Struthio camelus: one gene and its partners. The protein of the gene in region 3 purifies or fractionates together with the protein of the main gene of each other region. This does not show direct contact. Links are inferred from orthologs where the notes say so. Each region holds a gene or a part of one and is shown on either strand. Other genes may lie near its edges. The genes, in order: POLR3GL, protein POLR1D, POLR3F and POLR3B.

Region 1 (7,283 bases), on a different chromosome or scaffold from region 3:
ACCGGAGCCGCCTGCCCCAGTATAACCAGTGACCCCACACACCGGTGTGGTGGGGGCCGGGCGAGGGCAGGATCAGACCAGGGAAGGTGGAAGGGGCCAGCTGAGCCCTTCCCCTGCTCAAACCAGCGCCGCGAGCGGCCACCCCGCGCCGCTTTGCTCCGGCGCCGCTGGTTTTCGCGCCGGTGCCAGGCCGCTCCCCGCGCTGCCTTCCCACCAGGCTTACGCACGCTTTGGGTTTTTTCCTAGAAGCCGTTAAAAATAGCAATTCTTGGAGAGCGGCTTGCGGGGACGGGGGGGGGGGGTGGCACAAAGAGCCCCCTTCTCCCCGGGGAGGGGGGGGGGTCCCACCTCTACGTGCCCAGGGAGGGGACCAGCGCCAGGGAGCACTCAGGGACCCCCCTGTCCCAGTTGGGGCTGGGGACAAGCAGCAGCCCAGGAGTCCTGATCACCCCCCCCCCCCCCAAAATCCCCACTTGAGGCCACAGCACAAACGCAGCTCAAAAAGAGAGAAAACATCACTTTAATCCAATCCACTAAGGAAAAAAAAGAAAAAAAGACCCCCAAAGATTAAAAAGCAGCTACGAGAGCTGCAAGAGGCGCTTGCTTTCTGGGGAGGGCTCTTCGGCAGCCAGAGGAAACGCTGTGGCGCGATGGCGGCGGCGCCCTCGTCCTGCTGCGGGCACAAGCCCGGCAGCCCCCCCCCCCCCGGGGTCCCGCTACGCCCCCACCCCGGCGCCTTCCCCCCCCCCCCCCCAATATCAAGCTAAAAAACACTTCAAAAGTGACCTAAAAACACAGCAAAAAAAGGGCAAAGTTTGGTCCGAGCTGCGGGGAGGGCTGTGCGCCCACACCTTCGCTGCCCCCCTGAACCCCAGGATGGGGGTCCTGCCCTCGTCCGGCGCGGGGGCACCTCGGTGGTGACGCCGGGTGCAAGGTTTGGCGGGTGGGGGGGACCCAACCGTACGATGGGTGCGGCCGAGCGCCCGTGCCTGGAGCACAAGTGCCACCTGGAGGCAAAGGCGGGCTGGTCCTCAGCGCCGCTGGTGCACAGGGAGGGACGAAGGGCAGAGGAGGAGGCTGGTGACCGGCGGAGGGCCCAGGCGTCCGGGCCGCTCAGTAGACCGCTTCGTCCATGTTGTCGTCGCTGTCGGCGCCGAAGTCCTCGCCGTTGTCGAAGTAGGACATGATGTAGTCGGTCTCCTGGGGACGGGGAGCCGGTGGGCGACGGGGGCCTGAAGCGCATCCTCGGGGCGGGGGGAGGCACCCAGACCACCCCCAGCCCCCAGGATCTCACCTCTTCGTGCTCTTCCTCATCATACTCTTCCTCCTCCTCTTCTTTCCCTTCCTCCTCTTCTTCCTTCTCTTCCTCCTCTGACGTGACTTCCTCCTCTTTCTTCTCCAGGCTCTGGGCGCCGAGGGAAGGGAGACGCCGAGTTAGCGCGCGCCCGCGTTAACCGCGGGGACTCCCCGCCGCAGGGCGGAAAAAAAAAAGAAAAAAAAGAAAAGAGAGCCGCCCGCACGGGACAACCCCGGCGAAGGCCGGCCCGAGCCTTCGGCCTCCTTACCTCCAGCTTCTTAATGGTCTCCTCCTTGTCGAGCGCGAGCCGCTGCTTGCGCTTGGGGAGCAGGACGGCGGGCCCTGCGCGGGGCAGAGGAGGCGGGCGTCAAGAGCGCCCGGCGGCAGGACGCGGCCCGCGCCGCCCGCGATACTCACTGCCCTTGCGGAGCCGCCGCACCCGGATCTTCAGCTCCCGCGGCAGGCGCCTCCAATCTGCGCGGCAGAGCGGAGCGCCGGATGGGACGCCGGCTCCCCTCCGGCCCGCTCCCACGGCGTTTCTCCCTCCTCCCCATCCCGGCTACCTGGGCTCCAGTCGATGGCGCTGTCCACGGGGCTGGACACCTGGTACTTGTCCGAGTAGCGCTCGATGTCTGCGGGGTGGCGAGCGGGACCGTCGGCGGGGAGCCCCGCGGCGGCCCCAGCCCCGGGGTCACCTTTTCGGATACCCGCCGCCGCCCCGGCTCCGTACCTCGCCTCGGCGCCCCCGGCTTCACGAAGTAGGGCAGGTTCTTCATGGCGCCGCGCAGCTCCTGCTTGAGGGCCAGCATGTACTCGAGCTCCTCGCCGCCGGGCAGCGGCACCGGCCGGTACTCCATGGGCTGCGGGCGCAGGAGGGCCCTCAGCGCCACTGCTGCGATGAGCGCGGCAGGTCTCGGCCACCGCTACCTAGCGGGGAGGCGGGTGGGGGGGGGGGAGAGTAGGTGTCCCCCCCCTCCCCGTAGACTCACCGGGAAGAGCGGCGACGGCTGGAGGGTGGGCGGCGGCAGCGCGTCCCCCTTGGCGATGCCCACGGCCTCCACGTTGAAGGTCATCTGCCCGCGGCCCCGGCCCCGGCCGCCTCGGCCCGCCATGGTCGGTGCGGGGGGGCGCCGGGGCCCGGCGGCGGCGCTGCGAGGGGACAACGCTGCCGTGAGGGGGCGGGGGGGGGGCAACGGGGCGGGCACGGCGCGGAGACACACGGCGCTGCTCCCCCCCCCCCCCCCCCCGGTCCCGGTTCGGTCCCGCTCCCGGACACTCCCCCCCACCCCGGACCCGGCCGCACCTGCGCCGCGCATGCGCACGGGCGCTCCGCGCCGCGCCACGTGCGCCCCCCCCCGCTCTCGGGGCACACGGCGCGGAAGGGGCGGGGCTTGTGCGCGCCGCCGCACTTGGGCGCGGCGGGGCCAATGGGAGGGCGGGAGGGGGCGGGGTTTGGGAGAAGGGGCGTGGCCGGGGAGAAGGGGCGGGGCCGAGCGGCTGAATGGGGAGGTGGATAGAAGGCAGGGAGGGGTGGAAAGAGGAAAAGGCGGGTGGGAACCGCGGGAGAGGGGACGGGAGGGGCGAAGGGGGCAGGGAAGGGGCACCCGGGCGAGCGAGGGACCGAAGCGGGGACGGGGATGGAGGGATGCGGGCCCCGATGGGTGAGCGCTCCCCACCCCCTGCCCCACAGCGCCGCCCCACGGCCCCCAAGCCCGCTGCCCCACAGCCTCAGTGCCTCCACCCCGCTGCCCCATAACCCCTAGTGCTGCCACGCCATAGCCCCCTGCCTCATAGTACCCAGTGCTGCGGCCCTATGGTCCTCACCTCGCTGCCTCATCACCCCCAGCCCCGCTGCCCCATAACCCCCAGTGCTGCTGCCCCATAGCCCCCACCCCGCTGCCCCATAGCTCCTGGGCCTGCTGCTCCATAACCCCCAATGCTGCTGCCCCATAGCCCCCAGCCCCCTGCCCCATAACCCCCAGTGCTGCTACCCCATGGCCCTCAGCCCCACTGCCCCATAGCTCCTGGGCCTGCTGCTCCATAACCCCCAGTGCTGCTGCCCCATAGCCCCCAGCCCCCTGCCCCATAACCCCCAGTGCTGCTACCCCATAGCCCCCACCCCGCTGCCCCATAGCTCCTGGGCCTGCTGCTCCATAACCCCCAATGCTGCTGCCCCATAGCCCCCAGCCCCCTGCCCCATAACCCCCAGTGCTGCTGCCCCATGGCCCTCAGCCCCACTGCCCCATAGCCCCTGGGTCTGCTGCTCCTTAACCCCCAATGCTGCTGCCCCATAGCCCCCAGCCCCCTGCCCCATAATGCCCAGACCCACTGCCTCATAGCCCCCACCCTGCTGCCCTATAACCCCCAGCTCCACTGCTCTTTGGCTCCCACCCCACTGCCCCATAGCCCCAGCCCCACTGCCCATGTCCCTCAGCCCCGCGGTGTGGTGCTCCCCAGCCCCATGGTGTCATATCCCCCCAGCCCCACGGTGTCGCGTCCCCCAGCCCCATGGTGTCGCGTCCCCCAGCCCAACGGCGTCGTGTCCCCCAGCCCCATGGTGTCATATCCCCCAGCCCCACGGCGCAGTGCCCCCACGGCAGCTGCTCCCGCCGCCTCCCGCACAGGCTGCTCGGCGCAGCGGGTTCGGCGCTGCCACCGCCGCCGGGTGATTCATCCCCGTCCAGCCTCCCCGCGCGAGCGGCTGCCAAAAATAGCGACGGGGGAAGGGGGGAAAAACCCTCCAGCTAACCTCCCCTACCGACCCCCCCCCCCAGCCGGGATGGCGGCCACCGCGCCATGTCCCCGGCACCGGCACGGCCAGGGCACTGCGCACCGGGACGCCGGAGCATCGCGCTGGTAACGGGGGTGATGGAGGAAGGCAGCGGGGAGGGAGGGCTGGGGAGACCCGCATGGGGCAGCCCCCGCGGAGGGCAGGGCCCCCCCCCACCCCAGAGCTCGGTCCCCCCTTGGAGCCGGCAGCCCCCCCAGCACCCAGTGGGGCTCGGATGCAGCCGGGGCTTTGCCGGGGGCTGCTGTAACCCAGGCTTGCAAATTGGGGTGGAAAAGGTGGGGGGGTTGGCTCTTTTCCCCCCATTTTTCTGGCTGCCCAGAGAGCCGGAGGAGCAGGATGAGCTGCAGTAACCATGGGAACCAGGCAGGCAGGGATGCAGGGAGATGTATAGAGGGATGGGGGTACGCGGGGCTATGGGGGATGCACCCAGGGATGGGGGTATGTGGGGAGGCGGGGGATGCACCCAGGGATGGGGGTACACGGGGAGGCGGAGGATGCACCCAGGGATGGGGGTGCACAGGGAGGTGAGGGATGCACCCAGGGATGGGGGTGCACGGGGAGGTGGAGGATGCACCCAGGGATGGGGGTACACGGGGAGGTGGAGGATGCACCCAGGGATGGGGGTACACAGGGAGGTGGAGAATGCACCCAGGGATGGGGGTACTTGGGGCTGTGGGGGATGCACCCAGGGATGGGGGTGCACGGGGAGGTGGAGGATGCACCCAGGGATGGGGGTACTTGGGGCTGTGGGGGATGCACCCAGGGATGGGGGTGCACGGGGAGGTGGAGGATGCACCCAGGGATGGGGGTACTTGGGGCTGTGGGGGATGCACCCAGGGATGGGGGTGCACAGGGAGGCGGAGGATGCACCCAGGGATGGGGGATACAGGCGGGGGACAGGGGATGCCGGGGGCACCAGCAGGGGACCCGGGGCACCGCGCAGGCAGGGCGTTCAGCCACAGGCAGTGGCAGAGAAGCCCTGGCGCCTGGGGTGCTGCAGGCTGGGCTGTGACCGCTGGCCAGTCCGACAGGGGCATCCGCAGGGGTCGCCCCCTCGTGAGAGCCCGTCGGTGCCCGTCAGTGCCATCAGTTCGACCGCGGCTGCGAGGGCAGCGGGGGGCGGGGGGGGGGCGGGCAAGAATTGCAGCTGGGGAAACTGAGGCAGGGAGCCAGGGCTGCCTGCCAGGAGGGAGCTCTGGGAGCAGCGCATCCGTGCAACGCGGTCCCCCTCTCCACGTCCTATTGCAATGTGTGCGCCGTGCTCTGGGTTCACCAAACCCCTGCACCATCCCCTTTCTGTGTCCCGTTGCAGAGAGGGTGCAGTGCTGCACGATGAGCACATCCATGCGACGTCCCCTCTCCGCGCCCCATTGCAGGATCACCATATCCATGTGACATTGCCTTTCCATGTCCCGTTGCAGTGAGCGTGCAATGCTCTGGGATCGCCACATCCCTGACCCGTCCCCTTTCCGTGTCCCGTTGCAACGTGTGTGCGATGCTCTGGGATCTCCATATCCGTGCAACGTCCCCTTTCTGTCCCCCATTGCAGTGCCCGTGCAATGCTCCGAGATCGCCGTATCTGTGCACCATCCCCTTTCTGTGTCCCGTTGCAGAGAGGGTGCAGTGCTGCACGATGAGCACATCCATGCGACGTCCCCTCTCCGTGCCCCATTGCAGGATCACCATATCCATGTGACATTGCCTTTCCATGTCCCGTTGCAGTGAGCGTGCAATGCTCCGAGATCGCCGCGTCGCCGCCACCTCCCCTGGCCGCGTCCCGCCGCAGTGAGCGCCCGATGCTCCGGGCTGAGCCCCTCCGCGCCCCGTCCGCTCCCCGCCGCCCGGCTCCGTGAGCGTGCCATGCGCCGGGCTCAGCCCGCCCAGGCGCCGCCGCCCGTCGGGGGGCCGTGAGCCGGCCATGCCGAGCCCCCCGCGTCGCCCGGCCGGCCCGGCCGTGCTGCCGGCGGACGGCTCGGCCCTGCTGCGGGCCGTGACGCAGGGCAAATTTCGCTTGACCCGGCTGCTGCTGGAAGGCGGCGCCTACATCAACGAGGGCAACGCGGCCGGGCAGACGCCGCTGATGGCCGCCTGCCGGGCCCGCTACGCCGACCCGCTGGCGCAGCCCCGCATGGTGCGCTACCTGCTGGAGCGCGGCGCCGACCCCGACATCGCCGACAAGACGGGCAAGACGGCGCTGATGCACGCTTGCGCCGAGCGGGCCGGGCCGGCCGTGGCGGCCGCCCTGCTGGCCCACGGCGCCGACCCCAGCGCCCGCGACTACGCCGGCGCCTCCGCCCTCGTCTACGCCCTCAACCGGGGCGACCGCGAGACGCTGCAGGCGCTGCTCGACGCCTGCCGGGCGCGGGGCAAGGAGGTGATCATCATCACCACCGCCACGTCGCCCCGCGGCACCAAGACCACGCGGCAGTACCTGAACGCGCCGCCCTCGCCGGCGCCCTGCGCCTCGCCCTCGGACGTCGAGGTGCGCGCCGCGCCGTCGCCGGCCGCCGACGGGGAGGAGGAGCGGGACGTCTTCCGCTTCCCGCCGCCGGCCGCCGCCCCGCCGCCGGCCCGGGCCCGCGGGCGACCGCTCAAACGCCTCAACTCGGAGCCGTGGGGGCTGGCGGCGCCCGAGCAGCGCCTGGCCGCCGGCCTCGAGGCGCTCAGCGTGGGCCCGCGCCGGCGGCACAGCGTCGAGGGCCGCGAAGCCGCGGGACTCGCCGCTCAACCGGCGGCGCCTTGGGCCGAACCGACCGGCGGCTCCCGGCCGGTCACAACGGAGCCCGAGGGACGTCTCCGGTTGGAGACGTCGGAGGTCGGACGCGTCCCGCCGGCCGCCGGCGACGCGGTCGCTTCTCCTCCGCCCGGCCGCCGGCGCTCGCCGGGCTTGCTGGAGCGTCGCGGCTCTGGCACCTTCCTGCTCGAGCCGGCCGGGCACAGCCGAGCCGGCTTCTTGCCGCCGCTGCTCACCGGTCCCCATCCGCCCGGCGGCGTCGAGAGCCGGGTCGGGGCCCCGGCGTCCTCGCCCGCCCGCCGCGGCTCGCCCAAGGGCCGCCGCAAGCTGCTCCGGCGTCACTCCATGCAGACGGAGCAGATGCGGCAGCTCGCCACCTTCCAGAGCGCCCTGGCCCAGGGCCAGCCGGGCAGCTAGGGCGCCGCGCCGGCACCCCCAACCCCGGCCCGGACGCCTGGGTC
Region 2 (7,715 bases), on a different chromosome or scaffold from region 3:
ATGCAGCTCTTGTGTACAGAACGTTATCTCCTTAAGAGATGCTTATTTCCAAGTACATGATACTCCAAGCAAGCTTGACAGGCAATTCTAAGAGGCTATGATACTAAAGGTTGTGAAATATCCAGAGCTGTTGAGAGACGAAATTGATTATGGAAGAATCTGGACACACAGCACAGCAAAGCCACTTCCTTTATATTGCCAGATTAACCACGTATTTTCTGTGCTTTGAACACACAGACCCATGAAGACAGCTGGTGGGAATTGTTTGGATAAGGAAGAAAATAGTGACCTCTATCATACCCCAAAGGACATTTAGTAGGAATTAAGTAGGAAAAGTAAGTACACCTGCTTATAGGGAAAATATAAGATAAACAATTCTCAGTAGCTGATTTGTAACCTTTTTTCCTACTTCCTCTAGGATCATATACATTTTACTCTGAATTATATATTAATAGAACGTGGCTTAACATTTTACACACTTGAAGTATTTACAGCTTTTAGGGTTTTAAATCCCAGGGTACGCAACAGTCACATGGTAACACAACTTAGCATCAGCTTTGGTAGTGACTACCACTTTCTATCAAAGCGAGAAAAACATCAAACACAAGATCAAGCGAGAGCCAGACACTGTAAAATGGAAAAATAGAAGCAACACCGAACAAGCAGAACAGAGAGACTTCTCTTTAGATGGTCACAAAAAACTGGGACAACTGACTCCTCTCAATAAATCGCTGTTTGGAAACCTGACAAAATGCACTTTAGGCCTGAAAGAACCTGCATTAAAGTAGTTACAAACTTTTTTTTATGCTACATTAACTAAAACCACACATACAAAAAGTCTTACACTGTTATTGAAGACTCGTGCACTGAGATAAGACTAAACTGAGATAAATACGATGAAAAATATTCCAAATAAAAACGTTTTTGAAACATCAAAAATCTACCTAAAATATTTATGCTGTGGCTGCAGAAGAAAAATGCCATTATTCGTAGGCCAAAGCAATATTTTAAAGGGCCAAAAATTACGAAAGCTAACTGCCATAGCTGTACATCTGACATAACGTGAGTATGATCACCAGGTAGCTGGATATGAGACTAACGAGTCATGTCTGTAAGCCAAAGGATAAAGAGAGGTCAACACTAGACTCTTGGGGACTGTATGGAGAAGTGTGATGGGAAATGCTCAAATACGACATTTAAATGCACACAGTGTGAACTGAATTAAGGGTGCTACTAACAAAAAGAGCTTTTTTGAATACTGAGAGCATGAAAAAGTAATTAGCTAATGAAGAAGTGTAAGACAGATCCAAGATAGAAAACAGTAACCAATAAGTTCACTATACTGTATATATAATATGCAAGGAGCTGATTAAACATGTAGCATGGATTCAAGGTGCAGGACAGTTAAACCCTTCTGTGCCTCCTCTGGCAAATAATACACAGTTTCCTCCTCACTATCTACCTTACTGCCATGAAACAGGAATAGTATATTCAGCATCAGCTTGAAATAAGAGGCAAATTTGGCTGGTGGAAAGGAGAGCGTCAGAAAGAGACTCTGGAGCAATCTCTCGCAGCTACGCCCCAAACTGCCTGGAGAACCACAAGTCCCCGGCACGTCAGCAGCGGCCAGAAGAGAGACAGAACGTGGAAGGAGCTGTGACAAAGTTTAGATTTGATATGATTAAAAAGGGGGGCATAAATTTGGAACAGCAGTCATAAAAATAACATTCCTGCATATTTAGAAAGAAACTTGAATTTCTGTACTGATGATGTGAAAGGGGAGGTAGCGTACAAGAATTAAAGGCCTCTTAAAAAGCTTTGTGCTCTCTATGCCTTCCACCACGCCAACACTATTACATTTGTCCTATTTAAAATACTTGCTAAATATAAACAGCGAGAGAAACAAGTTATTTTCTACCGACTCTTAAAGTCAAGGAGAAGAATCACGAGAAGAACGGTTCAGAAAGCCTCTAGTCATCGCTGTCCCCTAAGTTTTCTGCCTGTTAGAAAAGTGGAGCGAAGCTCAAGGAACCATGTCAAAAACCCACCACGTTAATCATTTCTTCTAGACAAACCTGCAAGAAATAGCATGATTATCAAAAGAAAAGATCTACCTGTGCTGTAAATACTTAGAGTAAAGCAGGAGTAAGGCACGCCTGCGAGGACTGAATATTCGGAGAGAGAAACGTGCGTTTCAGTCCGCAATGTTTGCTTGGGAACACCACAGCTCAACCACAGCTCAGCACGCGCAGCAAAACACATCGGCTCATCCACGCCAAACCGCAAGGCACGGAGCACGTTCCTTTTTTGACAAAACGACCGCAAACATTTTGCCATAATACAAGAAACGGGTCATTTTAACAGCTGGTCAGCTGGCAAATCTCTAACGCTGAGAACCAAAACCGACTAGAGTACAAGTTTAACTGTGTGTTTTTTTTATTTTTTTTTGATTTTAGCAAGTGAGGCTAATTGCTGACTTCCAATTAATGAGAGACGAGCCAGCTAATGCTTTTAAATCTTCTTCCTGAACAGTACCAGCAGCATTGCGAGGAGATTTGACTTTTTTCTTTTCAAGCAATGATACACGTATATATTTTCACATTACGCCGGAAAAAAATTCATTTAAAATTCATTTATTTCGCACAGCAGCGCCCGAGGGGAGGGTTCAAAGCTCCGTCCCGAAGAGGCCGAGGGAGGAAGCCGGCCGCCGCGCACCGCCCACCCCGCGCGGCCTCCCCGGCCCCCCGCGGCTCACAGGCCGCCGGGTCGCGGCCGGCACCACCTCCTCCTCCTCCTCCTCCTCCTCCTCCTCCTCCTCCTCCCGCCGCCGCCGCCGCGGCCCAGCGAGGCCCGGTGGCGCAGCCCGCCGCCCCCCGCTCACCTCTCCAGCTCCGGGTCCTCCTCCATGGCGCGGCCCGCGGCCGCCGCTCAGGCGCAGGCCGCCGCCATGTCCCGCTGGCGGCCGGCGGGGGCGGGGCGGGGCGGCCGAGGACCCCGCGGGGGAGGAGCCGGGGCGGTGCCGGCCGGCGGCCGCCTCCCCCCTCCCCCCTCCGCACCTGCCGCCCGCCCGCCCGCCGCGCCCCGGCCCGGCCCCGGCCCCGGCGCCGCTGCCCCTCCCCGCCGGCTGCCGCGGGCGCCTGCCCCCGCCCGAGAGGGGCCGTTTCCTTCAGCGCCCCCCGCCCAGTTGCTGCGGGCGGGCGGGCTCGGGAAGCAACTCTGGCGCCAGTCCTGGCGGGACGGGGCGACCGGGGCTGTCCGCGCTCGCTTTCCGCTAAGGCGAGCGGGGGCCGGGGACGGGCTAAGAGCGGGCTTGGGGGCTCCTCGCCCAGCGCCGGCAGCGGCGGCTGGGGCAGCGGCGGCGGGGGTGCGCCGGGGCACGACACCGCCCCCCGCGCCGCGGCGCTGCTGCCCGCGGGGGCCCCTCACCCTCCGCCCGCGCCGCCGCCGCCGATCAGGCGAGCGGCGGGGCCACCCCGGGGCTGCGGCGCGGCCCGCCCCGCCCGCTCCCATAGGCTGCGGCGCCCCCGCGCCCGGGGCTGCCGCCGGCGAGGCGCGGCGCGGCGCGGCGGGGCGGGGGCACCGGCACCGGCGCGGCGGGGACGCGGCTGGGCCAGGCGGGGCGGGGCGGGCTGGGCCGGCCCCGGCCCCGAGGGCTCTGCGCGCCCGGCATGGAGGCGAGCGCGGCGCCGCTCTGAGGGGCGGCGGCGGCGGCGGGAGCCGGCGGCGGTGAGTAACTTCCCTGCCCGGCTGGGCGGCCGCTGAGGGGCGGTGGCCGGAGGCGGCAGCGGGGCCGGGCCTGCTCGGGCCGGGCCTGCCTCGTGGCGCAACAAGTCTGGGGCGGGCGGGCCGGGGCCGGTGTTCGTTCAGGTCGCGTCTGTCGCGTTGAAAAAACCGTCGCGGCTGGCGAAGCAGGTGGCAGCGCTGAGGCGGCGGCGAGGTGGGGGAGCGGCGGCGGCGGGACGGGGACGGGGACGGGGACGGCAGCCCCCTGCGGCTCCGCCTGCCGCGTTTCTGATGCACAGCCCGTCTGGTTGTGCACTGCGCCAGAAATCCGCGGTTAAGTACTGCTGGGCCCCATCTAATTCCTTTTTTAATTACACGATGTTGTGGGTTTTCTTTCGCGCTCGCGTACAAAGTAGGAGTTTCTGTTACGCGCTGGCTTTGGGGTGTCGTTGATCCCCCTCTGGAAATAAATCATAGAAGCGTTTGAGCTTCTTTGTTCAAAAGAGAAGCTGCTCTGAGCTAGGCTCTTATTAAATAAACAGCTGGACCGACCGATTTCTACTCCGCTACCCAATTCCTTGTGGCCTCGTGATGTTTTATTCTAAGCTGCGATCCAGCAGCAGATCAAGGAGGCTTAGGAAGAAACATCAGATGGTTTCAGTTAGTGTCCCTGCCCGCTCGGAAAATAACCACCTTAGTACTGCCATATGCCGCCGTGACTTTTATTAAAACAGATTTCCTCAGGGTGGAAACAAGGTATTTAAGCATACTGTCTGGGACCGTAAGGCTTAATAGGGCCCTTCTAGCATTTACTTTTTGAAGCTCACTGAGTGAGGAGTCTTCTCTTCCTTAAACGCAGCGCTGCAGAACGATAAACCCCGAGTTCGGGAAACTGCAAAGAACGCCCTTTTGTCCAGTGGGAATCTTTTTACATAAAAGTTTATGACATTTCTGATTTTTAAGCTTCTGTGTTATTAAAATTCTAAAATCTCAGTAAACACAAAAAAACCTCCTACACATTGATTTTTAGATCCGAGTTTTCTATAACAAATTCCTACCCTACTGACTTCAGCGACAGATAGCCCAGGGCCTTGGACTCGGGTCTGAGGCTTGCACAAACAACATGATTTCCTAACCCAGGTCTTTAACCTTTTTTTAAAATTTGTTCAAACATGAAGCTGCAATTTAGGAATGAAACTTTGCAAGAGGAGTGCAAGCTGGTGACTAGGTGGAAAAGTTTTGTTCTCTTGAACAGTTAGGTTAATTTAAAAAATAAGCCTACTGAAGCCTATCATATATAATTAGAAAAATATTGGCTTTGACATTGCAAGCTTTTGCGTGTGTGTGGAGCCGACTCACATAAAAGCCTTGATGACCTTAGTGAAACTTTGTTTTGTCATAAGGCTTTGCCTGAACTGAACAGCCTGTGAGTCTCACTATACGTTTCTGGACCAGCATCACTAAAAAACAGCAGAAGTTTGTTAGCTTCCAGTTAAAACTGTCTACTTGAAAATACTTCAGAATATTCCCCTGCTAGACTTTTTTTTCAATCCTATCCTTCTCTTAATAAATGCTTTAAATACAGCCACTTAAAGCCACCGTGAAGCAGAAGTGAGGCTTACAATATCACTCTAAAAAAGAAATGTGTAAGGATATGATGTAGTTTAGACACTGGAATAGTATACATTAATTTCATAAATCAGCAAGATGCTGCTTGTTTAAAAAGCTATTAGATATTAAGAGCTGTAATAAGAAAACAACCTTTATTCAGAATGAAAATGCTTCCTGGTGTATGGAGGCACCAGAGGACACTGGAAATCTGTTTGGTCTAGTCAGTGGTTTGTCTTTGATATTTGAAAATTCTTTGTTGATTTAGTTTGGAAAAGCAATTTAATGTGACACCGTTGAATTGCATGCTTCTAAATTGCTTTATTAGGTCAATGGAGTTTTTTTGTTTAGAAATCATAGTGCCTTTTAAGGATGAAAACCCTTTTACGTGTCATTATTTAATTATGTAATTGTTAGGTCACGGTGTCTAGAGAGCAATAAAAGACAATAACATTGTAGTCTCTGCTTTTTATGGCCTCAATTCTGTAGGCATTCATGCGTATGTTTAATTCTGAAAGTTCAAGTTTTTCTTGTGGAATATGGTGGGTCTATTCTTGGGCTTGATGTTCAGCCTGTGCGTGAATGTCTTGAGGATTTATGTTTGCAAAGTTTGGGGGATAAACCTGTCCCATTTTCGTCCTGACTGTTTTCATCTTTTGCATGACTTCGTATAGGTAGATGACTTCTGGCTTGGCAGTGAGGGCTGGCTAACCAATGGACATGTAACGAGAAACTCCCAACCGTGCCATGGGTCTCCTTCCCTTACAGATGGTAGGAGTACTGTAGAGGAGCTGACTTCATACTTGTGCATTGTAGTGGTACAGACATCTCTCTCATTTTTGGAAGTGTTTTTGATCATCTGAATTTGATTAGGTGACAACCCTTTGCATTCTCTTAGATGTTTATTTGAATGAATGTTAGTTTCACAAATAGCTTAGGACAGTTTCTGTTTTGGAATTTGGGCTGGGAAGAGAGGGGAGGTTTCTAATCTGAGCCTCTCTGATAGTGAGCTAGTGCATTATATGGTAAAAACAAAAGGCTGTGTAAGGATGCAGTTGTTTGCTGTAAAATCGGGTAACTTTTGAAGTTTTAAGATTTTAGGCAAGATTTTAAGTTCCGTTTTATGATTCTGAAATTTTTCCATCTAATCAGTAGAAAGTATTTTAATTAAAAAAAAAATTGCGCTAAGATACTGCAAGATACAATGTTTTCAGCCTCGTTTTTAAGTAAGCAAATTGTATTGTTGCTCTGTATTTGTGGTAGTTTAAGACTGTCTAGAATTTTCTTGCTGTTATCCCAGCAAAACAGACCAAATCAGGTAATAACGGAATTGTGAGGTTATGAATGTGCTAGATTAATATTATTTATAAGTTAATTTTCACCTGACAGTCTGCAGGAAGGTAGAGTTGATTTGCTTTGGGCCATAGAGAAGAATGTGTTATTACATCTCATTGCAGAGAACTGCTAATGCTTAAGTATTAGTTAATGGAGTATACATAATTTATACGTAGAACCTTTGGCTGTAGAGCAAAATTCAGTTTCACTGAGGAATATATCCAATATATGAACAGATACTGTTTTAAAATATTGTAAAAGGTAGTTATAAACAGTTCCATAGCATTGAAGGAAGAGGTAATATGAATTATTTGCCTTGTTCCTACCAAAATGCTTCTAGGAGTGAATCATGAGTGTAAGTGGTGTGCGTTAAAGGAGGACAAAGCTGTAGTTGGGAAAGAGGAGAAAAACAGTAGTTGTGTAAAGGCAAAGCAGGGCTTTTGGAGTAGGTTTCCTGGGACAGTGTGGCGGTGTCAAAAACTCTTCAGCACGCTGGGGAAAAAATGAGTCGCGAGCTACCTACTTTTGCACTGATAAATTCTTTACAGTAGGAGTAATTTTCAAGTGTATTATAGGCTTTTCCTTCGCGAGATAACCTCACAATTTCGTGTTCTCACAGTTGTCGCCTGAGAGCTTGCACAAGCCCAGTGGAATCTGTCAGCACATCACTGTTATGGTTAGAAAATAATCAGGATAAGCACAGTTGCTTATTACTGACTGCAGTAACGTTCAGGTCAATATTCTTATCCATGGGAACCTTTACGAACTCTTTTAGTTGTACTCCGGTCACATAGATTTCTTTTTCTTTGCATACAATTTTTGTTTGAATCCGGGTTACTCACCTCCACAGACAGCCCTCTCTTAATGCGATATTATTTTCAAAATTTTGGCTCTGAAAGGCCAAAAAATATTAGTGTCAGAGGATTCTAAACTCTTATCTTTTTATGGGTTTCTTTGCTTTTCAGACTAGGTGTTCATCCTAGCTCTGAGTTGACATATAGGAGAAAGAATGATGGGGCAGCAGGGTTTTTTTTTGCTCGGAGAAACAT
Region 3 (7,208 bases):
GACCACAGAACCACCGTTTGCAGACTGTACTTCAACTGGATTTCACTTGAGCATACGCCTTTGTTTGCAAAGATCACATTGCCAGATCAGGAACTCTGCTAGCAAGTGAGAGCTCTAGCTCCATAGTAACCTCTGTTCAGTAGAAAGCATTATACCTAAAACAGTTTTCAGGATCAGCTCAGGGCAATTAAGTATACCCTTCTGGAATGAGCAATTACATTCTGTAACAGCCATCATCCCAGTGAAGACTTCTCAGAGCGTCTTCTCAGCAGTGCGGCACGTGAAGTACAGAATTGTGCGCCAAACATTTATCCAACAAATATGAGGCTTACCTTGCATTTTGAGACTCTTTGATCCTATATAGGAGACCGGCATTGCTCCTGAGCAGGTCCAGTTGTCCCTAGGAGAGACAGGCACACATTATTTTCCTTCAAATATCTTGTTTCAGAATATGGCAAGAATCTTCTAAACCATTTCTAAAGTATAAAGCCTTATTTAATGTCAACTGCGTGAAGAAAGGGAAAACTAACATTTCCAACCACTAGAAACAATACACTCCGGGGTGTTTTTTCCTGCAACTATCCATTTATCCTCAGCTATTAGAAATAATAAATACAGTTCCAGCCTCTTCCCACCTCTATGCGCTTGCTAGCTTTCGCCACTGCACAAAGGACATCAAGCTCTCGTATGCCTTTTTCTTGCTTTCCACCGAAACGCTCATTTCTATGGCAATCCAGAAATCAAGTTAGAGCTCTAATGAACAATAGATTTGAAAAATTCTGATTTCCAGTAACAAAGTTCTTTCTTTAGTTAAAAAAAAAAAAAAAACCACCAATGGGAAACTGCCAGTCAGGACTGCCAATAACTCTCAGAGACAAATTACTGGCATCTCTCACACACAAGGTGTATCCTATCCTGGACTTCTGACTGAGCCAAGTAATTTCTTACTTCCTGTTTTGAAGAAAGAGGCAAGCAATTAGACAAGCCCAAGAACATAAATGCATATAATAGCATTAGCTTAATATTCACTCCTTCATTGCTAGCTAATCCATTCCTCATAGGTAACAGCCTTATTTCTTATAGATTTGCATTATGTGGTTGATTGGAGCTCACACCTCAACATGATCCCACTCGATGCTTTTCCATAGGTAAAGCGCTTATGTCTTATCTCATGTGAAGTCCCTGATGCTTATGAAGGCTTAGCACTCACTGCTGTTCTTCCCATGCTTAAGGTACTTACTGGATCTCTCCCCACACTCCCAAGGTGTCTATTTTAAATAAGTTCTAGAGACTTAACTATCATTGAAACCTCCCTGTGAAACATGGCCAACCCATTAAAAAGTGGTTGAATACAAGCTCTTATCTACTGTGCTTATAAACCTCGTATCTATAAGCAGAAAGATGAAAGAGAGAGAGATTAGTTCCAGCACCATGCACTTTTTCTTCCAGTTAAAGAAGTTTTGCTTATGAAAAGAAACAAAACAGAACAAAAAAACCCAACCCCACACCAAACAAACAAACCCAAAAAGAAACTTGCTCAGTTCGGATACTTTCTACCACCCCTCTTTCCCAGGGTACAAGCGCCCCTCCTTTCGCTGACACACGCCACCGCAATAGCATCAGATACTGCTTTTCTTTCGCTACAGTGCTTTCCATTGCACCACCCAGTCTCCATGTGCGTATGAAACAGCTATCAAAGGAACTGAACGGAATCCTGATCTTTAAGACCTTGAACACTTAGCTGATATTCAAGTTTATGCCACGTAGAACCAAGACTCAACAGCTTCTATCTATTCCTGAACATGTGGCAGAAGTAGTTGGCTGTGATCCTCACTCTTATCTTAAGCTGGGTCCTGATAAAATAAAGGGAAATGCATAGTGAGATGTAGGAAACTTCTAGGAGTTACAAAAACTCCTTGAGGTGTTTCACCTGCTTATTTGTCATCAGAGTAATCCACAATCCTGCAATTTTGTGAGGGGCTTGGTGAAGGGCTTCACATATAACAGCACAGGCCAATATCCATTCTTTCCTTTCTAGCTAATTCTTTCCCCACCATTAACAGGGCTTTGTCATTATCACCCATGTCTGCTTGTCTTATCACCTGCTGAGCCACTGCTGCTACACCTGCACTCAGGACTCTCATATTACACTACTGTATCACATTCTGCTTTGCATACAAACTGATACACAGGGGAAAGACCACAGAACTCTAGACACATCTACTCTTGAGAAAAATATTAAAAACAAATGCGGAACTTCTCAGTGGTAGCCTCTTAAACCTAGAAATCCATGTGAATATGCACATCCATGTTAATCTTGTATTACAGAGTGGAAACTATTAAGTTTTGAGGCATGTTTTAATTGGTTATGGCAACCTTTGAGCACATCACTAAATCCAAAGAAAACTTGCTAGCCCTGCCCGACGGGTTTCTACCATGCAGCCTATGTGTATGCAGAGCGCACTGGAAGCCAAGATGGCCCTACCATTGAGAGCAGCCTGTTGATTGCCATGGCTCGCTGCTGGGCTTCCATGTGAGGCATGTCATTTTGGATCACCTGGTCTGTGATGCCGTGGGGGAACTGATGGCACAGTTCAATGATCCTGGGGGAGGAGAAAGGCAAATTTTCAACCAGGCCCCGCTGCAGCGGCAACCAAAGGCGCAAAGTTACTGCAACCACGACGGAAGAGAAGGGAAAAGAACAGAGTTTTCCCGAGGACTGGGAAAGGCAACGGGGGGGGGAGGGGGGGGGAGCTGAGGCAACCTGACGCCATCCCTCGTTGTGCCCCTGCGCCAGCACGACACGCGCGGTGTCCCCAGGCAAGGACCAGCCCCCTGGGCCTCGGGCGCCGCCGCCGCCCCACCCACCCGCGACGCGACGCTCCCCGCCGGCGGGCCGGGCCCAGGGCGCACCTATTCTCTATGTCCACCGGGTCGGGGACCTCCGGCTTCACCTTCACCTCCGCCATGGCGGCACCGCCGGGTCGCGGCGCGCGGCGATGACGCCGGAGCGGCGCGCCGCAGTGAGGCGCCGGTCGCCAGGCAACGGGACGCGGGCCAATCGGCGGCGGCGGGGGTAGGGGAGAGGGCGAGGGGCGCGGCCGGGCTCGCGGCGTCTGTGGTAACGGGCGCGAGGAGGGACGAGGGGGTCGAGCGGGTGCGCGGGGCGGTATAGCGGGGATCGAGGGGGAGGGCAGGGCGGTATAGAGGGGATCGAGGGGGAGGGCGGTGTAGCGGGGATCGAGGGGGTGCGCGGGGCGGTATAGCGGGGATCGAGGGGGAGGGCGGTATAGCGGGGATCGAGGGGGAGGGCGGTATAGCGGGGATCGAGCGGGTGCGCGGGGCGGTATAGCGGGGATCGAGGGGGAGGGCGGTATAGCGGGGATCGAGGGGGGAGGGCGGTATAGCGGGGATCGAGCGGGTGCGCGGGGCGGTATAGCGGGGATCGAGGGGGAGGGCGGTATAGCGGGGATCGAGGGGGGAGGGCGGTATAGCGGGGATCGAGCGGGTGCGCGGGGCGGTATAGCGGGGATCGAGCGGGGAGAGCGGTATAGTGGGGATCGAGGGGGAGGGCGGTATAGTGGGGATCGAGGGGGAGGGCAGGGCGGTACAGAGGGGATCGAGGGGGAGGGCAGGGTAGTATAGCGGGGATCGAGTGGGGAGGGCAGGGCAGTATAGAGGGGATCGAGGGGGAGGGCAGGGCGGTATAGAGGGGATCGAGGGGGAGGGCGGTATAGCGGGGATCGAGCGGGGAGGGCGGTATAGCGGGGATCGAGGGGGAGGGCGGTATAGCGGGGATCGAGGGGGAGGGCAGGGCGGTATAGCGGGGATCGAGGGGGAGGGCGGTATAGCGGGGATCGAGGGGGAGGGCAGGGCGGTACAGAGGGGATCGAGGGGGAGGGCAGGGTAGTATAGAGGGGACCGAGTGGGGAGGGCAGGGCGGTATAGAGGGGATCTGCTGGGAGGGCGGTATAGCGGGGATCGAGTGGGGAGGGCAGGGCGGTATAGAGGGGATCTGCTGGGAGGGCGGTATAGAGGGGATCAAGTAGGGAGGGCAGGGCGGTATAGCAGGGATCGAGTGGGAGGGCAGGGCGGTACAGAGGGGATCGAGGGGGTGCGCGGGGCGGTATAGAGGGGATCGAGTGGGGAGGGCAGGGCGGTATAGCAGGGATCGAGCGGGTACATGGGGCGGTACAGAGGGGATCGAGCGGGGAGGGCAGGGCAGTATAGAGGAGATCGGCTGGGAGGGCAGGGCAGTATAGAGGGGATCGAGTGGGGAGGGCAGGGCGGTATAGAGGGGATCTGCTGGGAGGGCGGTATAGAGGGGATCGAGTAGGGAGGGAAGGGCGGTATAGAGGGGATCGAGTAGGGAGGGAAGGGCGGTATAGCGGGGTTCGAGTGGGAGGGCAGGGCGGTACAGAGGGGATCGAGTGGGGAGGGCAGGGCGGTATAGAGGGGATCGAGTGGGGAGGGCAGGGCGGTATAGCAGGGATCGAGCGGGTACGCGGGGCGGTACAGAGGGGATCGAGCGGGAGGGCAGGGCGGTATAGTGGGGATCTGCTGGGAGTGCAGTGACTATAGGCTATACAGGGGGAATGAAGGGGAGGTGGGGAGGCTGTATAGCAGGGATGGAGGGGGAGGGCAGGGCTGTGGGATGCAATGGAGCTGGGTGGGCAGGGGCTGCCGAGCACGGACCGAGTGGGGTGGGCAGGGCTGCGTAGTGGGGATCCAGTGGGGTGGGCAGGGCTGCGTAGTGAAAGGAGGGAACGCGGGGCCCGGCACACGGCGGGGTGCAGCAAGGGGCTGTGCTGTGCTGGAGCGGGGTCCGGAGCCCCGTCACGGTGCGATGCCCATGGGAACTCACTCTTTATCCCACCCATCGTGGGCTGCCACAGGCTTGAAACAGGGCGCTTTGCTTCTGGTCTAGGTGTGGCAAGAGCAGTCAGGTACTCGGAGAAAATTAGTGTCTGCCCCCTCGTGTCAGGTAAAGAGCGGATCCATGCATCATCCTTTCACCTGTGCCACAGCATGCGGCCCAACGGCTTGGCTGAGAACTGCCCACACTCATTACACCAGCCGTTACAGGCAGTGCAGCCGAGGTGATGGGCAGCTGCAGATAGCACTTTGGCTTATCTCAGTGTAGCCCCTGTGAGCCCATAGATCCGTGAACTCCTTCTGTACTCAGTCATTACTATCTACGTTGATGAGTTAGTGTTAGAGACGTTGCGGGAGGACTGAACGGCCAGTTACAAAACGAAATGCTTCCAGTGTAGACATGTTTTCTGGCAGTGAATATCAATTCCCATGACCTGCAGTACATCCTTTTTGTATTCTAAAACGCTGTCGTATCCAAACGTAACTTTTCATTCTTGAATTCAGTGACATAAAGGCTATGATAAATCATGTATGGCACCTGCTTGATAGGTATATGCTTAAAGTATACCACAGGTGAGGCAAGCTTGAGGAATAGCTGTCTTGTTTTAGTCCTTTTCGGGACATCTTGCATCTCACTGACATACATTTGGATGGCCACAATGAAACAAGGGACTGGTTCCTCCTGTAGAGAAAATGACACCATATCTCAGTGATGAGGGTGAAGATGCTTCACAGTTATTCTCTCCTGGCATGGTATAAGATATATGATGCTAAAGCTGTTTCACCTGAGTAAGTGGCCCTCAAATTCAAGCAGAGAAGGCCAAACTGAAATAAAAGCAACAGTGCTCATCTCAAGCCCTATTCATAGCCCTGTAATAGGACAATAGGTCGAAAGTTTGATGGGTCTATAGCATCTTATTCTTTTTCAGTGTGAAAACCTTAGAAATATTGATGAGAACTAGTATTTCAAGGAATTCAGTGTTCTTTCTTTCAAGGAAACAAACCAGGATGAGGAATCTCTTTAAAATGCAACATTTCTCACTGCATTCTTGTGTTATGAAAAATAATTGTCTGCTTTTTTGTTTTTCGTTCTTTTTTAAAGATCCTTGCTGAGAAAAATGACAGCGGGTTCTGTCTTAGTTCCTCAGGTCATACCTCTTCGAATCCCTCTTCCAGGGAAGGCTAAACATGAAATAGACACAAATACTCTTGTAGAAATAAAGTCAGGTATAAATAACACTTTTGACTCTGTGTAAAACTTTTCCTTATGTGATCATTTGAAACTCTTAGCCTCTATATTTTTGTTTACATTTAATTATGATTTTTGTGAGTTTCCACTTCCTTAAGTAACTCACAAAATTAACCTAGATGTTTTGAAACTGCAAATATATACACTTAACTTTTAGCATTCAAGCAATATTATTGTCATAATATATGAGTTCATACCTGTTCGCAGTTTTAATTGCTTCCGAGATCAAGCTCTTAAGTTGTTGTATTTTGCTGTGACTGCAAAACCAGGACTTGAAAATATGATGTGCCTGGCTCACTCAGAAAGTGTTCCTTACGGTTTTTGAAATTCCATCTTTCATCATGGGAGAAATTATTTTTTCTGTCTTTAGAACAGACAAGTTGTTGCATTGTTTTCATACAAAACCAGTGTATGACTACTTTATGAAAAGAAATATTGCTTGTAATGACATTTTGTTTGTTTAGTCACCAGCATTTCATGGGAGAAATAGTTTTGGTCCTGAACTTTCAATCATTTACTCCTTGATTTTGTTTATGTGAGAAAAATCAAACATAGGAGTGAGTATTTCCAGGTGTAGAGCTTATTTTGCCCAGCTCTAATATAATTTGGATAATAACTTTCTCCGTGTCTTTCAGATACACCTGCAGTCACTATTTATTACACTTTAGACGGAAGTAAGCCAGAACTCATTAGGAAACCCAGCTATGGAGAGCATAATACTTTTGAGTATAAGCAACCTATCATGTTACCAGTTGGGAAAATAATGGTCAAGGCATTGGCAGTTACAAAGTAGGTATCTTGTTTTATTTTAGTAGTACTGGGGCAAGGACTGGACATCCCAGTCATGGCGTGGAGCTGTGTTTTTCTAAGCATTCTGTACCTGGGGAATGAGGGGCAGCTCTTGCCCCAGCCGGTTTTCAGTCTAAGTGATCTTCCTGGATTCCTTTCACTGTGTTCACTTTCTCATAGCACTTTTTAATCATTAAGTGTTTGTGGAGCTGGATTATCTCTACAATGTTTTCTCCTGGGCCTTGGCTGAAGGCCAATGATCCATGAAGGCTGTGGGTGAGGGGCTGGTAAAATA
Region 4 (7,508 bases), on a different chromosome or scaffold from region 3:
TCTTCCCGTCAGTCTTTATAATAGAGACACTGTGACCTGATTTCCCTACTATGAATAACCCACTCCAGTGACTATGAATGAGGGGGACAGGTCTTGTAAAAATGTATACAGATAGCTTCTGAAATCCACTGGAAAAAAATTAATTTCAAGTACATATGTATTTTTTTAATAGACTAAGTCTGTCTAATGGATTGTGTCACTTGCAATAGCCAGTAAAATATTAGCTTCCAAGACAAGCATTTACAATGACTCGTGAGGGGAAGAGCTGGCAAAGTACTTGCTGTTTTGCCACCATTAAAACATAATCAGTTTTTTTAACTTAATATATTTTACATATACTGATGCAATTATGACATGACAAAATAATTCTAGATAAAATTTCCTATATATATTTAGGACAGCATCTAATAAAACAATTCTCTCTTCAAAAAAGACTTTGAAGCAAAAAGTATAGTAATAACTGCTTTCGTAACCAAGGACAGGTCCATATTTGGCCAAGTTCTAGTACTCCTGCAGTTACTGGAATGAGAATTTAGCCTATGTTACATTAAGGAATGCCAGTATTATTAGAAGCTGTTTTGAATATAGCAGTTACAGAAGAGCTCACTGTTTAAAGTAGGAACCATTCAGAACTTGTCAATTGTAATTGAGGGATTAATGAAAAACTCCTAAGGTTAAAAAAAAAAAAAAGATCATGGGGAGGGAAAAAAGTCTGTCTATAATGTCTATAAGCATTTTGTTTATCCAATGGAGGTCATACACAAAGCTCAAAGTCTAATATGTTATATGCTGATCCTTGATCTTATTTGGGCATTAAGTATTTCTGAGTTAGGGCTTTCAGACCTTTGTTCTTACAGGCACTTGACTTTGAGAATAATGTCACTGAGTGCAGCAGAGCAATTTCCCCTTCTGTAGTCTGTTCGATGAAGGCATAAGTTTTTTACAGAGTATTTTTGGTACTCTCGGTTCTGAATGCAAGAACTCAAGTTGTTAATTGTTCTCGAAAATCTAAGTACTGTAAGTGATTAGCTTGACTTTCATTGGGCCTCTGTGGGAAATACTTCAGCTTTTCCCCAAATTACTTTGGAATAGGCCTTGATACTTGGTTCCCATTTAAGACTACAGGAGTTTTGCATACAGAGAATGAGTAAGTTTGATATGGAGAAGTATATGTAAACTTTCGGATGTTTACTTCCATACTAGATTTTGCATATATCAGACTACTGGGAATAGATAGTGTTGGAATACTCTAGTATGGATGCATTCTTGTCTATGAAAATTGAAAAAGTTACTTGAAAATGATGTTTTAATATATTATCATACAATAGTCCTTTTTAAATGTCAAATATATAAAGTCCATGTGGTACAAGTTAAACAGCTTGTTTTTAATATTTTATATTACAGTCTATTTTTATTAAGAAACAAATTTACCCATAAAAGCTTAATGTGCCACACAAATTGTGTATATATACATTTATTATGTCTATCATAAAGGTCTAAAGTGGGCATTATTAGCACTGTGGTTTTGTAGTCCCTTTTTACAGGATTATGTACCCCTTTTTATTAAGGGAAATGACTTCTAGTCACTTGTTGCTCAGAATGTCCAAGGCCTTTGGCCACATGTATATGGTATGAAAAACTTTCTTCAAAATATGTTGTTACCAAAAAAAAAGCTCTAGTGCACTTCTGTTCTATCCCTTGTATAAAAAAAAATTGCACAAAATAAAGATAAATAAGTATTTTAAAGGGAACTGTGTTTCTTGAAGCCTGAAAAACCTGAGAGAGGAAGGAACTCCTAGAACAGACCAATTGTGCCACTATGTAACATGGGTTTGTTCAGATGAGTATGGAATTTTGACAAGGAATTCAAAATCATCAAGAGAAGAATTCATTTCAAAAGCAATTAAGAATCAAATCTTAGTGATCCTGCAACATCTTGGGACATAGCTAAACTATTTTGAACCTTAGGCTAAAAGATGATTTTATGAACATTTGAAGAACACTTATAAATTTATATCATAATACTTTATATGCATTCTAGTGCAAAATAAGCTGTGTGACGATTGGCTTTTAATGTAAATTGGCATACTAGTTTTTACGAGAAAATACTTGGAAAGAGGATTTTGGTTTTTTTGGGGGGGGGGTAATTAAGGTGACTTGCAAAGGGCATTTAATAGCATGGCCAATGTTTCCACTGATTGTTTAATGTATTTTAATTTTTATTTAATGTTTCAAACCCAGACACTGTGTCTGTTTAATGTCGTGTTGCATGCTATTTACGCTAACATGGCTGAAATGCATGTGCCTCAACTCTGAAATTGTCTTTGATAAACAAGATGCTATTTTGTAGCAGCTTTCTTTGTTAAAATATAAATACTTGTGAGGTTTTGTATGCATTAAACTTTGTTTGTGATACAATTGTGGTGAAAAGTCATTTATGCAAGCTGTTTCTTAAACATAACGGATGTTAAATGCCAGATATAAATGACTGCACAAATGTTGTGGCTCGCTCTTTCCCTGCAACTCTTCAGTTGCAGCTGAAGTGTAGAATAGCTTTAAGCTAGTTGCACAAATAAGGTTTTGAACAGCCTCTTGCTTAAATCTGACTCCTTGTCCAAAGACAGTTTGTGTATTTAATCATAGCTGTACTGTTAAGCATGATTAAATAGATTAGAGTCTTCAAACTGGAAAAGGTTTGACAGTTGAAGCAGAAAGGAGTTTGATAGGTCTACAAATGGTGAGTGGCAATAAAGTGAAGAGCAAATAGTTGCCGTTTCTTAAGATGCAAGAGCAAGACCATCAAAGAAAAATAGTGGTTTGTGTCATTTCACAGCAATGTTTAGATAACCTGTGGAACACCTTGCCTAGAATCTGGGGCTATTAAAAGTTTTGTTTTAATGATCAGAGGATTAGACAAATAACTAAAAATCATTGATGGATTTTATTTTTTTCCCCCCTAAAAGGGACCAAACTTTTCAAACAAAGCAGGTTGTTCCTGCTTTGCTAACCACTGGAGTGTTAGGAAGAACATTGGAACTATGCATACTTCTGTCTAGGCTGGTGGTGGGGGGTGGTGGTCATGAGAGAGCTAGAGCTTGCCTGTTCTTTGAAATGGTTTCACCGCTGTTCCTCTTCCCCCTTAGAAAGAGTAGCTCTGCTAGTTTTGCAGTGCATGATCATCACTGCAGAACATAATGCTGCCTTTCAGCTTTTTTGTATCTAGGTCTTTAAGTCATTATTCAGTGTATGAATTGATTTAAAAAAAAAAAAAACAAAACTGCTAGTTTGTAATTTCAGAGTACACATACAACTAGCACCAAGTGCTAGAGGTGAGAGTAGAAGAGACTACCTATTTTGAGGAGTAGCTATAGGTACAATTTTGCATCAAATTAAAAAGCTAAACCTAGGAATTGTTTGGAGAAAGGCTGGATACTTTAAAAAAAATTATCACATTCAAAATGATGCTTAATGAAGCAAATTCAATATAATAAGCCACTTACTCATGTAATCTCTAGAAACTTTTATGGGATCCTTGAACCTCTAGTAGGATTCCAAAAGGATTTAGAAACTTCTGAAAGAATGAGTATTCAAAAAGTAGTGCTAATGCAAGGAGGAAGAGGGAGTGGTCAGATGAATGTGAGGCAATCATTTGCCTGCAAGAGCAGTCTTAGTAAAATTAAATGTTCTTAAGGTGGTAGTTCAGTTTGACTTTCAACAGTGTACTGTTCTAGATTCAGCCTTAACGCTTAATTATAGACTATTGCCAAATTCAGAAAGACCCAACTTCTCTGTAACTGGGAGTAAATGTTTTCAGAGTGTCTTGGCTCTGAAAACCCCTCGGATTTCAAGGCAGCTCAGCCTTTTGGACTACAGAAGCCACATGCCTCTGTCCCCTGGCAGCTGATGGCTGCATATTGCTGCTCTTTTCTTTGCATCATGCAGAATAACTGTGTACAATTCATTCAGTCCTGAAGCGCCTGGTGTACTGCCTGTGTCTGGATCAAATGTGCTGTGGACGTGCACAGATCTGATGCTTCTTGAAATTTTAGTGTCCATAAAATAACGACAGCTACTCCATCATATCTGTTTTTGTTAACTGGTTCACATTTTGACCTTTGGCAGTCCCTGATTTTTAACCCGGCTGAACGATTTATAGTAGCCCCCAGATAAAAGTCATACTAAACAGGAATACGTGACAAGGACGTAGCACTGAATTTTCAGATTTGTAAAGGCAGAAAAAAGGGCTTTTTTTTTTCTTGATCAGTCATGCAGTAGGAACAAACGTTTTGGAGTGAGCTCCTAGACGGAAGCTTGCGCTGTATAAAAGAGCTCTTAGCTGTTCTGTTGCTGAAAACAACATTCTGTCTTTATATATAACAAAAAGAGGGGCTGAAGACCTTATTTTTCTAAACCGAGGGCCCGTTGCAGTTAGTTAAGAAGAAACTCTTAATCCCCTGACTCCCAATTTATTCTGGTTTTCCATTATGGCAGAAAACATGATCTCTGGTCACCTAACAGACCTGAGAGCGAGGCAGTGGGTCGTTGGACAGAAACAGTATGTTCCCTAACCAGTTTCTTGGTGAGTATAGCTAGTTAAATGGAAGACCTTGTATAATTTTTCACAATTGAAACATTAAAAAAAAAAAAAAAACACCTCTCCAGGCTTGAATTTGACATTGAATGGAACATGAACCTGCAACCAGTCCCACCTGTTGCTCTTCTCATGCTTAAATGGAAGCTGAGCCTTCATTTCCAGGATGGGTGAAGCCCACACCAACCTCCCGGAGCTTTAATTATATAGAATCTAAACCAGATCTGAGTTTAAAAAAAAGATGGTAGTTTTCAGTTTCTTCTTTTAAAAGGTACTTGTGTCAAAGGGATGGGCAAGTATTCTGCGTGTTCTACATTTTGCAGCTAAGAATTTCATATGGCTGAAGTGCAACTCCCGCACGCACTCGAGTTTTTGGGTTCAGCAGTGCTATGGGTTTTCAGTTCCCCACGCGGGTCACCTTAAAAATGTTGATTAAAAACCAAGACCTGGGGTTGGGGAGGCACAAATTCTATTTCTGGCTTTGCCTTATATTTCTTCTACTTGGGAAGATCACGATGGCCTATCCCAAAAGGCAGGCCATGAAGCGGAGCCGGCGGCCGCGGGGCTGGTGACGCCCAGCCCTGGGCCGCGCCGCCCCAACGGCTGCTCCGTCACGCGCCGGCCGACGTGGGGGTGGGGGTGGGGAGGGGAGCACGGCTAACGGCTCTACCCGCCGGAGCCGCACGCGCTCAGCCCCCACCCCGGGCGCCCTGAAGCCCGGAACCTTTCCGCAGCTGCGCCCGTTCCCGCAGGGGTGGGGAGGGGGTGCGTTTTGCTGCTGCACCGCCGGTCCCTCGCGGGGAGCGTCCGCTGGCTCCGCCGTGGCCTCTGCGCCGGGCTGGCATGGAGGCGCTGGCAGCGGAGCTGGGGAGCCTGACTGCCGAGCAGGCGGCGGCTCCTGTGAATACGGTGGAGGTTAGCGGCGGCCCCAGCCGGGGAGCACAGTCCTGGGGGGGCGGTCGGGGGGCAGCAGAGCCCCACGGATCCCCCCTCCCCGGCCGGTTGGGGGGAGGGGGAAGGCGCGTCGGCCCCACCGGCTGGCGGTGGGGAGGGGCCCGAGGCGCGCATGCGCGGGGGCTCCGGCCCCCTGCGCTGGGGGGGGAAGGAGCGGAGGGGGCTACGGCGCATGCGCAGGGGGCGCTCTGCCACGCGTGAAGTGGGGTTCCGTGGCTTCGTCCGTGCGCTGCCCGTTTCGCTCGGAATTTCTGTAGCTGCCCAGTGCCTCCTGCGGGGGGCAGCGCCAGGGCACTGCCGCAGCAGCAGCGCGCCGTGCTGGCTGTACTCGAGAGAAACCAAAATGAGGGAGGGGGCCGGTGTGCTCTTGGGGCCAGGGCCGTGCTGTGTGCTCCCTGCCCCCTTCCCCCCCGCCCCCCCGCCCCGGAGCTGGCGGGGCCTCTCTCGGCCGGCAAGCGATGCTGCTGCTGGTCCCTGAAGGGTAGAAGTGGGTTAAAGCCAGTGGGAACCTTTCTGTGCGTTTACTTGCCAGTATTTTGCTCAGGCAGTTTGGCTAAATCTTTGTAGGAGTTGGGATGCTGACAGGGTGTACGGATACCCCTGTCTGCCTGCGTCACCCCTTAGAATGAGATTTTGCATGTGTTTTGTAGAGTCCAAATGGGAGCTAGGCTTCCTTTGCCCAAAAGATGCTCTAAAGCGTTAAAAGGACAAAAAGGTTGGTGTTCTTAAACTGGGGCATAGTATTATGGAGTTTTCCAGGAAATGCACATTCTTACATAACCTGTTTTTAGAAAAAATGGCGTCCCTTTGTGCTTAGAGTAAAAATTGCGTAGAACGTATGGCTCGCTAAAGTGTTCTGAGTCGTGTTTTGTTTTTACTCAAGGAGATTGGCTTTGGGCAGTCTTTTTTTCTAAAAAGATCTGATTTTAAAACTGTTATTGTTTAAAACAAAACAAAAACCTCAAGATTCTTAAATGTTTGTTTTCTCTTTGGAAAGCCACTTCAAACTGTTTTTTGGTTTTAGGAAAAATGGAGACTTCTTCCAGCATTTCTAAAGGTTAGTGTTATGCACTCATTTCATGGCATGAACATTCAATCTCCTTTCTAACTTTACATTCCCCTGTTCTACCTTTTACTATTTCCCAGAATAGCTGCCCACCCTCCCTCTCGGCTTTGCAATTCTTTTTTGTTCCCTGCTTCCGTGGAATTGGGGATAAGGTTGATACATGATTTAGTTTCTTGATGAATAAGATTAATTTGAGGAGGCATCCTTGGCCTCCTCAAGTTGGCATTTTTTATATGGTGATTCTGAATGAACAGTGTATATGGTATAATGTTTTCAGATAATTTTACTGTCTCAGTGGCACCCAGAGACCCTATTCATGGTCTTTGCATAAGCTCAATGTAAACACTGAGTAGGTAGTTATGTTTGTCGTAGCAAGTATGCAACTGCAGACCTGGATTCTGCCAAGGCTTGAATATATGTACACCTTTATTCATGAATGTCAGAGCTTGACTGAACTCAGAGGTTAAGGTTGTGTTGATTTCAGTGCTACCTCTGCAGTCTGGCCCTAGCTGAAGACACAGTTCTATTTACAAATGCAATTAGATGTAGTAACAGGAGTAAAAAACAGTTGGAAGTGAGAAGGGAGAAAGACAGTAATGATATTGTATCATAAAGATGGCAGGTAAAGTCTGTGATGTGCACAGGTACTTTCAGGAAATTGCAGCCACCTCTGCGTGCATGTCATCCATCCTTTGAAATGTTACCTGCTTCAGCAAGGCTCTCTTCAGCCTAATTTTGTGAATTCCCTTCCTTCCCAGTGTAATATCCGTGCACCCCTCTTTCTGTTACACGGTCCAGTATTTCATCTTTGCAGGAAAACAAAATTCAGAGTTCACTTATGGACTGTGTATGCCTTTTCACTGTGGTTCAGGGCTGTGAAGATATTTTTGGGCCCTA

Evidence for each region.
Region 1: the proteins of POLR3F (region 3) and POLR3GL purify together in Homo sapiens (co-immunoprecipitation; 5 studies listed by BioGRID and IntAct, counting the BioPlex papers as one, with this or other methods). This does not show direct contact. The link is inferred for Struthio camelus from reciprocal best matches to the Homo sapiens genes POLR3F and POLR3GL.
Region 2: the proteins of POLR3F (region 3) and protein POLR1D purify together in Homo sapiens (affinity purification with mass spectrometry; 3 studies listed by BioGRID and IntAct, with this or other methods). This does not show direct contact. The link is inferred for Struthio camelus from reciprocal best matches to the Homo sapiens genes POLR3F and POLR1D.
Region 4: the proteins of POLR3F (region 3) and POLR3B fractionate together in Homo sapiens (co-fractionation; 4 studies listed by BioGRID and IntAct, with this or other methods). This does not show direct contact. The link is inferred for Struthio camelus from reciprocal best matches to the Homo sapiens genes POLR3F and POLR3B.

The regions. Positions count from the first base shown.
Region 1 is NC_090971.1:3,068,662-3,075,944, forward strand, and holds POLR3GL (DNA-directed RNA polymerase III subunit RPC7-like), read right to left. Parts: upstream 2,461-7,283; 5' UTR 2,410-2,460; coding exon 2,287-2,409; intron 2,190-2,286; exon of another isoform or gene 2,158-2,189; coding exon 2,028-2,157; intron 1,930-2,027; coding exon 1,861-1,929; intron 1,772-1,860; coding exon 1,715-1,771; intron 1,640-1,714; coding exon 1,566-1,639; intron 1,406-1,565; coding exon 1,295-1,405; intron 1,201-1,294; coding exon 1,114-1,200; 3' UTR 501-1,113; downstream 1-500. Other genes in the region: ANKRD34A (ankyrin repeat domain-containing protein 34A), read left to right, coding at 6,007-7,239. UniProt on the Homo sapiens protein: DNA-dependent RNA polymerase catalyzes the transcription of DNA into RNA using the four ribonucleoside triphosphates as substrates. Specific peripheric component of RNA polymerase III which synthesizes small RNAs, such as 5S rRNA and tRNAs.
Region 2 is NC_090942.1:200,709,621-200,717,335, forward strand, and holds the start of protein POLR1D, read right to left. Parts: upstream 3,005-7,715; 5' UTR 2,908-3,004; coding exon 2,882-2,907; intron 1-2,881.
Region 3 is NC_090944.1:146,895,365-146,902,572, forward strand, and holds the start of POLR3F (DNA-directed RNA polymerase III subunit RPC6), read right to left. Parts: upstream 3,017-7,208; 5' UTR 2,970-3,016; coding exon 2,914-2,969; intron 2,604-2,913; coding exon 2,486-2,603; intron 401-2,485; coding exon 333-400; intron 1-332. Other genes in the region: DZANK1 (double zinc ribbon and ankyrin repeat-containing protein 1), read left to right, coding at 5,994-6,102, 6,760-6,913. UniProt on the Homo sapiens protein: DNA-dependent RNA polymerase catalyzes the transcription of DNA into RNA using the four ribonucleoside triphosphates as substrates.
Region 4 is NC_090942.1:61,794,742-61,802,249, reverse strand, and holds the start of POLR3B (DNA-directed RNA polymerase III subunit RPC2), read left to right. Parts: upstream 1-4,494; 5' UTR 4,495-5,434; coding exon 5,435-5,506; intron 5,507-6,569; coding exon 6,570-6,602; intron 6,603-7,508. UniProt on the Homo sapiens protein: Catalytic core component of RNA polymerase III (Pol III), a DNA-dependent RNA polymerase which synthesizes small non-coding RNAs using the four ribonucleoside triphosphates as substrates.